2 linked regions of the Caenorhabditis elegans genome follow. The protein of the gene in region 2 interacts with the protein of the main gene of each other region in a pairwise test. Each region holds a gene or a part of one and is shown on either strand. Other genes may lie near its edges.

Region 1 (6,897 bases), on a different chromosome or scaffold from region 2:
AAGTCTAGCAGTGATCGTGCGAGCGTAATAGAAAAAATAGGGTATTTAACTTTTTAAAAAAGGTGTTTCCAAACTGTGCAAACTTTCAATAAGCTTCTGACCAACGATGAACCATATCTCCGAAAAATGGGCTTCAACTCCTTCTCCTCGCTTTCCGAACCTTTGTTGTTTGCCTTCGCGTCAGGAGCGGGGGCGGGAAAATAGGTCAAAACTGTCAAAAATTTGTATATTTTGTGTGTTATGTGAGTGCGTGTCTATGAGCTAATCATCAAATTTGATAGATTTTACGATTTTTTCTTCAGTTTTCAGATGTTTTGCCGTTACTCTGATCAGAGATCAAACTACATAGTGACGTAACGACACGCGCTTTATATATAGTAAATTGATTTTTATTAAAAATTTGAATAACTTGCAAGTTTATGTATAATGGTGAAACGTTTTTTTTCTGTAGATATATATTAACAATTTTTAGACTGTAGATCTCTACAATGAAATGATAATTTTTAAACTGGTTCAATCCAGTGAGCATTTACCAATCTACAAAAGCCTCGAAGCATTATGCATTCTAAAATTTACCTTTTAAAGAATTTTTATTTCGATACGAAATTTGAAAATAAATATAATCTATAGTAATTCTTCTCTCTAATTCCCTTGTTCGATGCTCCCACTAATCTTTTCGGGTATGGTGCTGCGACCTCTGTAGTAACCGAAAACTTAAACCGAACAGCCAACACAGAGACTCCTTTTCTAATGATCTTCCATCACTTTTTTAAGAGAAACTATCTCCTCCTAAAGAAATAGTATATGTTCTCGAGAGATTATAGAGAACAAATAGCAGGAAGAACAATTGGAAGTAAAAGAGAGAAGCAGAGACTTCTCAAATAATACAATATTGTTCTTTTCTAACAGTTAGTTTCTTCAACTTTTTTTCTTTTTTTCTAACTTATTTAAAACTTATTCTCCGATAAAGAGAAATAGAGTAGAGAGGGACGAGAGAAAGAAGAAGCTTCTCGCGCAATCAACCACTTCAGATCTCACTTTTTTGGGTTAAGGCTCACAAGTTTTTGTGTGTAGATAATGGTTTGCGCTCATTAGGTGAAAAGAGATTCAAGAGTACGGTTGATTGGTTCAATTGGAAGACTCATATAAAATGAAATAGAAAGTGTTCTAGACTGATCAAAGATTTTGCTTTACTTGCTTAGATGATTTATAGTAAACTTAGTATATAGAAAACCCTAAAGGTTGATAATGTTTTTGTTCAAAGTTAATATTTTAATATGAGTTTAGTTTTTTACCGGCCTGCTATTTTTAGACTTTAAGATTTCAAGTCAAAAATGGTTGAGAATCAGAGCTATCAATAAAAATTTAACTATCTCTAATGTATGCCGGAAAGTCTGAGCCTAATCCTAAGCCTCATTCCTCATCTAACTAGTTATACAAATCCCAGCTAGTATATAATTACCGCTCTAAGACTGTTATCTGTTAGAAAGGCACTGATATAGTTTGAATATTGTAAGCATTTAGGAATTTGCCTTGCTAGGCAACCACTAATGAAATTGGAAAATAAAAATTTGCCCTGCAAGGCCTTCCATCTCTATTGTTCTAGTACTATGAGCAACCTCCTAGACACCTAAACAATCAAAAAGGATCTCCAAAATCCACTTTTTCTCTACGTCTCATAATATTTCCCACAAAATTTACAAACATTTTGAGTGCTGTTCTGCCTAGTTTTTGTTCGAACAAAAAGTTCGCCTTGTTCCTCCAAGTAAAAGTTCAAACATATGTGTTCGTTGGAAGAGTAATCACGTTTTTCTTTACTCATCTCTCGCTCCTGGTACTTTATTAACTAGAACCAGTTTTCGTGCCGAGACCCTCCTCCGCTCATCATTTTTCTATTTTCTCTCTCTTTTCTGTGCATTCCGTACTGTCCTCTGTGAACTTTCTTGTCCACTGTGCTCATTTTTTGGTTTCATTTTTGTGAAATATTTTAAACAATTGGTTTAAAGAATGTTATCATTCAACAACACAACATCTGCATCTAGTTTTCAATCTGCTTCATCAAGATATTTAATGTCATCATCATCATCAATTGGACCACCACAACAACAATCTGCAAAACTATTTCCTGAGCATTTCTATCCAAGTGGACTAAGTCCAAGACAGTCGGAAGCTCTCGAACGATTGCGACCCAATACGGCGTCGCGCGAACGAAATATTCCGATTCAATTTACCGGAAAGAATCCAACAACAAATTCAGCTCTTGAGGAGTATAAACCAGTACCACACGTACAAGTTACATCTCCAAAGTCTTCAATTGTTCCGAATTTTGTTTCCGAGCAACGCGGGCTTCAGCCTCAACCAACATCTCAAGCTCCAACCAATTATCGGCAATTCGTGGCTGCACCACGATCGCCACGTGGATATGGAGACTATCCAGAAATGACGGGAAAAGCTTCTGCTGCTGGGGATTCAGAGCCTGTTCAAATCCCAATAAAAACTCAAACTCCAATTACACAAGCTCGTGCTCAAGAAACTAAAATTCCAACAATTGTGTCACCACACCCTGTTTATTATTATGACAATCAGGAGCAACCAATTCAACAAATTCGAGGTTTTTTTGTTTTTCTTTGCGTCTTAACTAATATCTCAAATTTTATTTGAGATAACTGTGTGCTGTCTTAGTCTTTGTCCCATGTCCAGACACTTATTACTGATAACCAGTTTTTTCGGAAATCAAAAAAAAGCAACAGTTATCAAAAATCAGAGAAATCACTTCAAACTTAACCGCTCCTATATTCAAATTTTCGTTTATTTTCAGAGGAGCAACCAAATGCCACCATGGAGACCAAAGTCACCGGACAAGGTCAGCCAAAGCGTGTCGGACGCTGGACATTGGCTCAACTCCGTCAAACTGACGGAATTATTCCAAGCCAGGCCGGATGGAACAAGGGAGACTCACAAAAGTTGATGACCAACTTCGGAACACCAAGAAACACTAACACTCGTGTCAAGTCTGAGAACCTTCAGGTATGGAAATTTTATGGTCAGATTTACTTGGGTATGTGGAAGAATTTATTTTAATAGAAGCAAAATCTAGGTCACCGTTTATGTTATTTGTCTTTAAGGATACAAAACTTCAAAGGTTCTTACTCACTTTATCTCTTCTGAAATGAAAAAAATCTTTAAATGTCATTTCTTGGTACCTCCACAATTTGTTTCATTCAACGTCAAGTATTTAAAGGAATTCCAAAATTTTCAAATATAAATTTTCCAGGAAATCCCAGAAGATATTGCCAACCGAACCCATGGAGAAGTTCGTCTTCAATCCGGAACCAACAAATATTGCTCCCAGAGAGGAATGACCGGATTCGGATCCGGACGTGATGTGTGCCGTGAGGGAGTCCGTGTCGCTCAGAACCCAGCTGACTTGGCTGTAAGTTACTTTTACATAGTAGCTCTGTAACCTTTCATCACTTCAGTAAAAAAAAGTGACAGAAACAAAATAAATTATTTCTCTAATTTCCCACATTTCTGTTCCAATGTGTGTGGAACGTCTTATAGATTACGGTATTTTTTTCTGTGAACTTAGAGTAACGGATGAACAAATACTTGATTTAAAGATCAGGGATATTCTTTTGTGAACGCAAATAAACAATAATTAACATATATATATTTTTTTACAGGAGCTTCCAGAAGAAAAGATCCGTATGTCCGAGGGAATTGTCCGTCTTCAAGCCGGTACCAACAAATATGATTCTCAAAAGGGAATGACCGGATTCGGAACTGGACGTCGTGAGACAACTAAGATGGTTGACTCAAAGCATCCAGAATACGATCACGAGAAACCAGATCAATCTGAAATTCCACTTCAGTCTGGAACAAACAAATTCGCTTCACAAAAGGGAATGACCGGTTTCGGAACTGCTCGTCGTGAGACCACAAAGATGGTTGATTCTAACCATCCAGATTACTCTCATGAATGTTCCATTGATCAAACCACAATTCCATCTCAGATGGGATCTAATCAATATGCTTCACAGAAGGGTATGACTGGATTCGGACAGCCACGTTGGGAAGTTCTCGACCCATCAATCTCATGGCAAAACCGTAAATCCCAGGGAATGGTCCGTCTTCAATCTGGTACCAACCGTTTTGCTTCTCAAGCTGTAAGTTTTCTTTAGATTATTTATAGAATTTAAATAAATAAAATTCATTTTCAGGGTATGATTGGCTTCGGAACATGCAGAAACACAACATTCGAGGCTGAAGGAGGAGAGCTTCCATATGAGGCAATGAAGGTGTCTGAGACCATCATTCCAAGTCAAGCTGGATGGAACAAGGGAGACTCACAGAAGGTTTGTCGATTGTTAATAACATATAACGGAACCCTTGATTATGACATTCTAGTGTATCCTGAATTTGTCCTGTATTCAGAAACTATTTGTAGATTCTCGCGAATTTCTATCACCAACGTGTTTAATTCTATAATTCCCTAAGTCCGAGGTCTTGACACGATCGGATATTTTAAAATTAAGCCTGTGCCTTTGAGAGTAGAACTTGTGTAACTTTTCCGCTAGGAATATTTTTAATAGTAGGGGTGTCAATAAGTTCCGGGTCAAAATTCATAACTTTTTTCGTGGCGAATCGATTTTTCTGAAAATGTGGGAATTTATGTGATCAAACATGGTCTTTCATTTGACGGTACTTTCAAAAAGTTTTGACCACTCCATGTATCCCAGCTCGGAGACACTTTTTTCAGGCGTATGCCTGATCTCGCTTCTTTGTAACTTTCAATTGAGACTTATGTGCGGATTTTGATTAATTAAGTATACAATGTAAAAATACAATAAAAATTTAAGAAACAATTGGTTCAAAAAAAATTTTTTTTTGGTTCGTCAAAAAATCCTCGAAAAAATTTTTGTCGAAAGTTCTTGATTTTTTGTACAGGAATGATGCAACCAAGTCTGAACAATTTTTAACACACAAAACTTTTGAAACGTGATTTTTATGATTTTTTAGTCCATTTTTTGAAATTTTTGAGAATTTCTCTAAATCTAAATGTTAAATTCAAAAGTTTTGTGTGTTAAATTGTTCAGACTTGGTTGCATCATTCCTGTACAAAAAATCAAGAACTTTCGACAAAAATTTTTTCGAGGATTTTTTGACAAACCAAAAAAAATTTTTTTTTGAACCAATTTTTTCTTAAATTTTTATTGTATTTTTACATTGTATACTTAATTAATCAAAATCCGCACATAAGTCTCAATTGAAAGTTACAAAGAAGCGAGATCAGGCATACGCCTGAAAAAAGTGTCTCCGAGCTGGGATACATGGAGTGGTCAAAACTTTTTGAAAGTACCGTCAAATGAAAGACCATGTTTGATCACATAAATTCCCACATTTTCAGAAAAATCGATTCGCCACGAAAAAAGTTATGAATTTTGACCCGGAACTTATTGACACCCCTAATAGAAACCTAAAATGGTAGAAAAACCGTTACTGTATTATTCAAAGGCGCATACCTTTTTGCAAACATTTTTGCGCGGCCTCGATTTTCAAAATATTTCGATCGTGGCGAGAGCAGGTACCGTATTATCAAATTATGTGCAAGTTGATTTTAAAAAAACATATAAATACATTCTAAAAAGAAGAAAAATGACCAAACTTTTAAGTTTAAAACTACGATTTCCTTTAAAAAAAAACAAATTATTGAAACAAATTCTAATTTTTCATAATTTTTCAGAAGATGACATCATTCGGAGCACCACGTGACGTTAAGGGCAAGCACTTGAAGAGAATCTGGGAGCTTGAATACCCAGAAGAGGCTGAAATCTCTTTGGATCGTCTCTAAATCATTTTTCTCCGTGTTTTTTTTTCTTTCGTAAATTACATGATACCTGTGCATAATTTGCTTCAACTTCTTCTCCAAATGTTTCTTCTTATTCTTCAAAAAAAACTACTTTTTTGTTTGTTCTCCATCCCATTTCCCTGCTTTCCTTCCTATTCTTTTCACACCCAAACAAGTTCATCATATAAATTTGAAATTTTTCGATTGTTTTCTTTTTTGCGTAAGTTGCAGCCAAAAATGAGCAATTTTAGCGAAGAATTATTCTTGTTATTTTAAACCACTTGCATTTAGTTTTCTAAATGAAATTCACAGAGATGCGACAAGCCATAGATTTACTTAAAAATATATGTTTATTCTATGAAAACCCGTACGGAACTTTCAGGCAATATACTAAAAATTTAACAAAAAATTAAAAAATTAGTTCGTGTTCAGGGCGTTCAGTTTTTCCATCATATTGTCATTGAGAGCCTTCCAGAATAGACCTTCTTCGCATTCGATGTCTGTTGTGAAGAATACCTGCAAATATTTTAATGAATACATTATTTGATTTCTCGATTTTTAAGCCAAAGGTTATTTTTTACAAAAAAAGGTTTTTAAAAATGTGTGGAGTTTTGTTCTTTTCATATAATTTATTTTTCATTACCGCGGAAGTAGTCACACCCATTTAAGCAAAAGTGGCCTTATTTTAATTTTCGAAAAAAATTATTTTCAGCGAAAATTTTGTTACGAAAATTATTTTCTGCCTAAAAATTATAATTGCGACATGATCATCAATTATAACTTTTTGTTCATAATTTCCAAGCTAATATTACACAATATTTGAGAAAATACTTGAAATACGGAATTTTTTAGAATAAATTCAATCTCTCAAAAACAAAATGTTGTTTTTTTTTGGTTTTTCTGGTTGCATCGGTTTCAGATAAAAATGAGAATTTCCTCGAGTTTTTTATTTCGAAATGAACGTTTTTTCAAAAATACCTGTGTGAATCTCGATGTTTTTGTTAACCGAAGAGTAGTTGATTTAATGAATTCTCGTTGCGTATTCTCTC
Region 2 (6,979 bases):
AGCAATAGACACCGAAAGGGTCGATACATACTAAAAACCCTTAGACGGAGGACTAGCTACCCTCCAATCATCGGCGAAGAAGAAAGAAGATTTAAATTGAGTGGCAACTTTCGGTGATTTCCTCAGGCCAGAGGAGACTTTGGCGGCTCTCTGCAAGATCAGGCATGACTATACGGTGTCAAACAAGAACTTGGGCGGACAATTCGAGTGGAGTTTGGACTACTTGTTTTGGTTTCCCTTCTTTTTTTTCCTTTTCCTTTTTACCAGACGCAAAGACTAATTTTTAGACGTTTTTTTTATATATATTTCCTTAAAATTGCCCCCCCCCCCCTCCTCACCCTACTCTTTGGTCGATCTGCCTCACAACCATATCCACCTTGGAGTCCTCCACTAAACCTACTCTACATTGTTGGGAACTCTTTCCCTTTCTACACCGGGGACTCTTGACCCGAAGGGGGACTCTTTACCCTGGGAACTCTTGGCCCAAAAACCTACAATACAGGGAACTCTTAGCCCTCACCGACATTCCTCTGCCAAAGGAATAATTAATAACTCACCCATATTAGGTAATATTTAATAATCCCCCCACTCATATTGGGTCATTACTTTCCTTATTTACTGTACCTTTATTTATTTATTTATTATTTGATTAATATTTATTTATTTATTTAATATTTATTTTATTAATTTATTTTTATTAATTTATTTAATTAATATTTATTTATTTAATTAATATTTATTTATTTATTTAATTAATATTTATTTATTCATTTAATTAATAATTAAATAATTAAATAAAACATTTCTGTAACTACGTGAAGCTTCTTGTACCTACTGGAATATTATTGGTATATGCTGAAAGAGCTTAAAATTTACTACAAAGTTTCTGAAAGACATTTCAAAAAAAGTTACTTTCAAAAGATTTATGAATTTTCAAAGTTTGGAAAATTCATCTATTTTTGCCTATAAATGGTAGTTTTCATTAAATAATAAAATACGCACTAAAAGGTAGGGCTGAAAATGTACTATTTCTGTAACTACGTGAAGCTTCTTGTACCTACTGGAATATTATTGGTATATGCTGAAAGACCTTAAAATTTACTACTCAGATAAACCGAACCACGCAGGCACCGCTCCAAACCACGCAGGCAACGCGTACAAACCACGCTCAAGAATGCCAGTCCCTGCGTGGTTTCAACGCGTTGCCTGCGTGGTTTGGAGGCGACACCTGCGTGGTCTTGCAGCAATGGCAGTTCGCAGCCCGCTCCTTCCCCTTCCTACCGTTTAACCATCTAAAACGCAAAGTACGAAAATCTCAAAAATAACAACAAAAAAAGGTGGGAAACAAAATTAAGTCCATTAGGCAGTTGTTTTCGTCCCAGTGATCAGTGTGATGGTGTGTCCTTTTCCTGGCTCATCTTTTTCCGTGCGTTCAAGCTGCAATATTATTGATTTTTGGAAATACAAATTGATAGAAGGGTGTTTACCATTTTTGATCCACCTGTCGGGAGAAAACATCGCCAAAATCCGCACTCGGGAACTGTCCTTCGAATCCGGCTACAACATGTAGAATATTGTGAAGAACGCCTGAAAATTTTTGTTTAAAAAAAAATTGGACAAGAATAGCTTACTGATAGGACAATTGAGAAGTCTTCCTTGAAGAATCTGATGATTCACCGAATTTGGGTGGACACTGAAGGTGTGGAGGAGCTCTGGAGGAATTGTCTGAAAAGTGAACTATTTTAACTACATCTGGATTTGGAGAATTTGTGCAGCTGCCAAACTTCTGTTCACCTTTGACTTGGAATTTTCCGCGATTTTCCTAAGCTCTTTGAAATCCCAGTCCATAGTTCGAACGAACGATTCCGAAGGTTTTTTCTGAAATTTTGTTGCTATATATTTTTTAAAAATAAAGTTTATCTTACGTTGAAGCGACCAATCGAATGCGGCGCCTCCAGTCCATTGCCACGCCGCTTTCGGCCTCCTTTTGGGGTTTTTCGGGCCGGGGTTGACATATTTACCTGAAAACAATTATTGAGTTTCATGAAGAAATTGAAAATTAATATAAAAGTGCTTTTTGCAAGAAAAAAAACGGAAAATTCCATTAAATTAGGAAAAAAAAATAGAAGAAAAAGTTGTCCAAGAGGAGTACGCAGCCATTGGCCTAGGAATCCCGCGCGTGGCTGAACGTTGGCTGCCTGCATGGTATGTAGGCGTCACCTGCGTGGTTTTGCAGCCACTGCCAATAGCTGCCCACCGTCAAGTCGCCTGCGTGGTTCCTAGGCGTCACCTGCGTGCTTTTGGTTGCCTGCGTGGTCTTGACGCGTTGACTGCGTGGTGGGCAGTCACCTGCGTGGTTTGGAGCGGTGCCTGCGTGGTTCGATTTATCTGAGTACTCTAACTTGGGCATTTATTTGAATTATATTTGAAGTATATTCGGAAATTTTTCTTTTTTTGAACATTGAAACACATTGAAATAAAATAAAATAAAGTTTGCCAGAAATTTCAATTCCAGTAATTTGTTGATTTGCCTGAAAGCTAATATATATCGAAATGTATACATTACCCGTAATCAAAACATTTTGAAGTAACAGTATTCTGTTATTCTATCCGTTTTCTCTTCACTTTTCTCTCCCGATCAACTCACTCAATGTGCCCTCTTCCTACATTACACTTTTACGCACTCTAACACTCTCTGAGCCGATAGTTTTATTCAATCGAAATGTTCGCTTATTCAACGTCTTCAATTACCGGATCAACTCTTTCAGTTAGATCGTTTTCCAGTGACACGACAATTTCCAATGCGTTTTTCAATTTGCCTCAGGTAAAGTTGTTGCAAAATATATTGATTTATTGTTATTTCTACTTTTAACCAATGTTTTTCAATTTAAAAAATTTTGAATTGAGCATATTAGCGCTGATTTTTGTTTTTTTTTAATTTAATATTTGAAAATAGCCTGTCAATTTATAAAAAATCTATGCTTTATATTTATTAAAGATATTAGCCAGACGGGAAATTTTGCAATTTTTATGTGTTTTGCGCGAAAAATACGGTAGTTCTTGGTCTCAAAACGACAATTTTTCGTTGCATGGAAACGGGTGCTCTCCTTTAAAGAGTACTGTAATTCTAAACTTTTGTCGCTGCGGCATTTTATTCGACTTTTCATTGTTTTTCTTAAAATTTATGTGTTTTAATTGTTTTACTTCAGTTTTTTACAAAATAAAAACAGCCTTTTTTAACGAAGAACTATGAAAAAACGATGAAAACCCTGCAACAACGAAAGTTCGAAATTACAGTACTCTTTAAAGGCGCGCCCTGGTTTGAATATAACAAAAAAAAAGTCGTGTCGAGACCAGGAACCGTATTTTTGGCGCAAAAATCGCAAAATGTTGGGTATGAGTATAAAATAAAACACCGTGACCACTGGCTTGAGCCACGTGTACGGTATTTAGCTGAAAAGTTTCGATCGTGTCAGGACTCAAGACTGTTCTTTTGGGGGAAAACCCGAAATTTTCGTGGGCAGCTGGTACTCTTCTTTCTGGATTTAATCCGGATTTTGACAGAAAATGTTTTCTCGACGATTTTATTGAAAATTTCCATCTGTTTCCCAAACTTTCTCCAATTTTTTTGAAATTCTTGAATTCAGTATAATTATTATTCAGTTGAATATGCAAATTTTGTTATTAAAACAATTGAAATATTTGTTTTATTCACTTTTTGAGCAGATCTTTTTTTCAGAGCAATTTCCGTCAACGTCTGCAAGCGAAAAAACGAAGTCCGAAAAGAGTCAGCAAGCGCGCTCCATTGAGAACGCATCCTCCAATTCCACGACAGGTTTTTCCACTTTTCTCTTCTTTTTTTCCCGTTTTTTTTCATTTATTTTATGTTAAAATTCAGAAAATAAAGAAAAATATTTAGAAATAAATAAATTAAATTAAAAAATGCATTTAATTATCATTTATATTCGCTCAACAACACGACAATCCCATTTTCCGCTCACTGCCACGTGTAGCTTTGCAGATGTCGCTGTTTCGGAACTTTTTTGGCGGCGGACAGCAAGATGAAGACGAGGATAATGGAGCTGAATATGTAGAAACACTTGTGGAACGAGCAGAAACTTGTACGGCACCAGAAGACCGTCGAGATGCGTTGAGAGGGCTGAAAGGTGTCGCAAAGGTGAGAGAAAAAATCATTTGAACTATTAAAATTAAACAATTAAAATTAAACGTGTAATTTCAGAAATATCGATTAGCCGTCGGAACAATGGGAATGAATGCATTCATTGACGTGCTTGAAACAGATCGCATGAACACCGAAGCCATGACAATTGTGCTCGACACGATGGCAATCGTTTTGTCAACAGACGACGATTCTTCAGAATCCGATGAATTAGGAGAACGATTAGCCGAAGTGATGATTAAACGAAAAGGCTTCATTTCTTCAGTTTTATGCGCCGTTGAACAATTCGATATTGGAGTTCGAAGGTTTTTATTCCGAAATTAACGAGAAAAAAATCAAGATGCTTTAAAAAATTCACTAATTTCAGCTAAAATCTCCAATTTCGTCAACTTATCGGTGTCACAACAACCGCAAATTAATTTTCTTTTTAATTTATCCGTATTTTCTCCGATTGAGATACATTTTCAGGCCAAAGGCACTGAATAAGGGGCCTATCGACTGAAAATTCCTCAAAAAACGGCAAAATATGATTATAATTGAATTAAATCGATTTCCGGCTGTTGCGAGACAATCTTCGAAATTAAAAACACCTGATGTTAGGCAAAATCCCCAATTTTGCTCCTTTTTTTGCGTTACAACAGTATAAATACAGTCTTTATTGCATTTTTTTTTTGGTTTGGTATCCGATTTTTTATTATCTTTGGTGTTTGCTTTTAATAACGAAATAACGTGAGATCAAATAAAATATGAAAATTCGATAAAAACTGCATTGCAGCAGTCCTAACGCGGAAAAATTGATAAAATTGGAGATTTTAACTGAAATTAGCCCGTTTTTCAGAAATTTTGAGAATTATATCTTCAAAATTAGTGTATTTTGGCGCATTTTTAATTTTTACGAGCAAAAATTCCCCCGAATCCTCCTTTAAGGAAGATTTCGGACGATTTTGAACGTATACCCCCAAAAATGGGCTCAAATAATCGAACTTCGTATTGAAACTGCTCGAAAATGTTTGAAAAACTTTTTATGGCGGTTCAAAATTTCGAAAAAATACACTGATTTTAGCTAAAATCTCGAATTTTGGCCTTTTCTCCGTGTCGCAGCGGTTCGAAGTTGACTTTTTTGGAATTCTCGTCCTTTATTGAATATTTTGGTACTTTATCTCATATTATTTCGTTTGTTAAAGTACATTTAAAGACGATAGGTAACCGTTTTTTATGATTTTTGGCTACTTATAGGCTTTAAATGTACTTTAATAAACGAAATTAAATGATATAAACTACCAAAATATGCAAAAAAAGGATGACAATTCCAAAAAAGTCAATTTCGGACAGCTGGAACACGGAAAAATGGCCGAAGTTCGAGCATTTAGCTAAAATCAGTGTAATTATATAATATTTCGAAATTTTGAACCGGCATAAAAAATACAAAATTTTGAAAATTTCTTGAGCAGTTCTATTACGAAATTCGTCCATTTGAGCTCATTTTTGAGTCTTTACGAGCAAAAACCCCCCGAATCCTTCTATAAATTATTTCAAAAATCTGTATTTTACTATTTCAGAACTGCAATTCAGCTGATTTCAAACCTGCTTCGTCATCGTGGAACAGAAGTTCAAAAAGCCGTAATGGAGCATCCTCAAGGAATCGCAAAGCTCGTCGACGTTATTCATGATAATCGAGAAATTATTCGAAACGAAGCAATTTTAATGATTTGTGAATTGAGCAGAGCCAACTCGCAGGTTCAACAGCTTCTCGCGTATGATAATATATTTCTCGATCTTCTAAATATTATTGAAACCGAGCCCCTTGACAGTGAGCGGCTAATCAATTTTAAACATTTTATTTATTTTATTCTATGTTTTCAGGCATTGTCATCGAAGATTGCATGTTTGTAATGCTTAATTTATTGAGAAAACATGCGATGAATCAGCAAATATTCAGAGAAGATCAGTGAGTGAAAATTGGAATTTAATACACAAAAATTGCATCTAAAAAATCGAAAACCACTCAAAATGGCAAAATTTTGCTTGAATCTGAATTTTTCGCGACTTGTCTCTCACGGAAATCGATTTTTTATCAATTATTCCGCATTTTTTTGGTATTTATTCTGTATTTTGGTATGTATCCTTTGAAAATGCGAAATAAAATACTAAAATATGCAGAAAAATGTGAAAATTTTGACAAAAAATCGATCTCCGGCAGCAAATTTCCAGATTTTAGCTCAATTTAATTACTTTTTCGAGTTTTAGACAAATATCATTATGAAATTTAGTATTTTTTACGAAAAAACTCAAAATTACTCCTTTTTTGCGATTTTCGCGCCAACACGTGTTTTCAGCTCGACCATTCGGTGTAATTTGTGCAAACACCGTGACGCGCAAATGCAGACATTTTTGCACGCGCTGCGGTGAAATTCCTCTTGGGAAATTTAAATATTTTTTCCCGCCTTTTTTTAAAATTTTCGAGGCGTTGGTCGAGCTGAATACACGTGCGCCAAAAAGACGATACTCGGTCTCGACACGACAAATTTATGTTGTCTGCGAAAATGCGTGCGCCTTTAAAGATTTCTGTAATTTTAAACTTTCGAGAATAATTATAATTTGAAATTACAAGAATAATTTGAAATTACAGTACTCTTTAAAGGCGCACACCTTTTTGCATTTAGCAAAAGTTGATCGTGTCGAGACCAAAAGTGGCGGTTTTTCAATTTTTTTTACAAAATCGAAATACGAAAGATTTTCGATTTTTTTCGCTTTTTCCAAAAATATATTAAAATTTTAGTCATTTATCTCCTTTTTAGA

Evidence for each region. Proteins that work in one complex are often made in the same cells at the same time.
Region 1: the proteins of uso-1 (region 2) and unc-87 interact in a two-hybrid assay, tested with the Caenorhabditis elegans proteins (2 studies listed by BioGRID).

Annotation. Positions count from the first base shown.
Region 1 is NC_003279.8:6,760,721-6,767,617, reverse strand, and holds unc-87 (Protein unc-87), read left to right. Parts: upstream 1-1,927; 5' UTR 1,928-2,007; coding exon 2,008-2,611; intron 2,612-2,818; coding exon 2,819-3,027; intron 3,028-3,274; coding exon 3,275-3,433; intron 3,434-3,683; coding exon 3,684-4,166; intron 4,167-4,220; coding exon 4,221-4,355; intron 4,356-5,743; coding exon 5,744-5,851; 3' UTR 5,852-6,265; coding exon of another isoform or gene 6,266-6,364; 3' UTR 6,365-6,397; downstream 6,398-6,897. Other genes in the region: F08B6.1 (BPH_3 domain-containing protein), read right to left, coding at 6,266-6,364, 6,827-6,897. UniProt on the Caenorhabditis elegans protein: Thin filament-associated protein that is implicated in actin bundling and actin filament dynamics. Exhibits F-actin cross-linking activity. Required for the maintenance of sarcomeric actin organization in striated muscles.
Region 2 is NC_003282.8:13,450,542-13,457,520, reverse strand, and holds the start of uso-1 (Uso1_p115_head domain-containing protein), read left to right. Parts: upstream 1-2,722; coding exon 2,723-2,824; intron 2,825-3,739; coding exon 3,740-3,835; intron 3,836-4,021; coding exon 4,022-4,177; intron 4,178-4,240; coding exon 4,241-4,485; intron 4,486-5,739; coding exon 5,740-5,990; intron 5,991-6,043; coding exon 6,044-6,128; intron 6,129-6,979. Other genes in the region: Y38H8A.7 (uncharacterized protein), read right to left, coding at 1,386-1,437, 1,488-1,587, 1,632-1,725, 1,795-1,878, 1,926-2,015.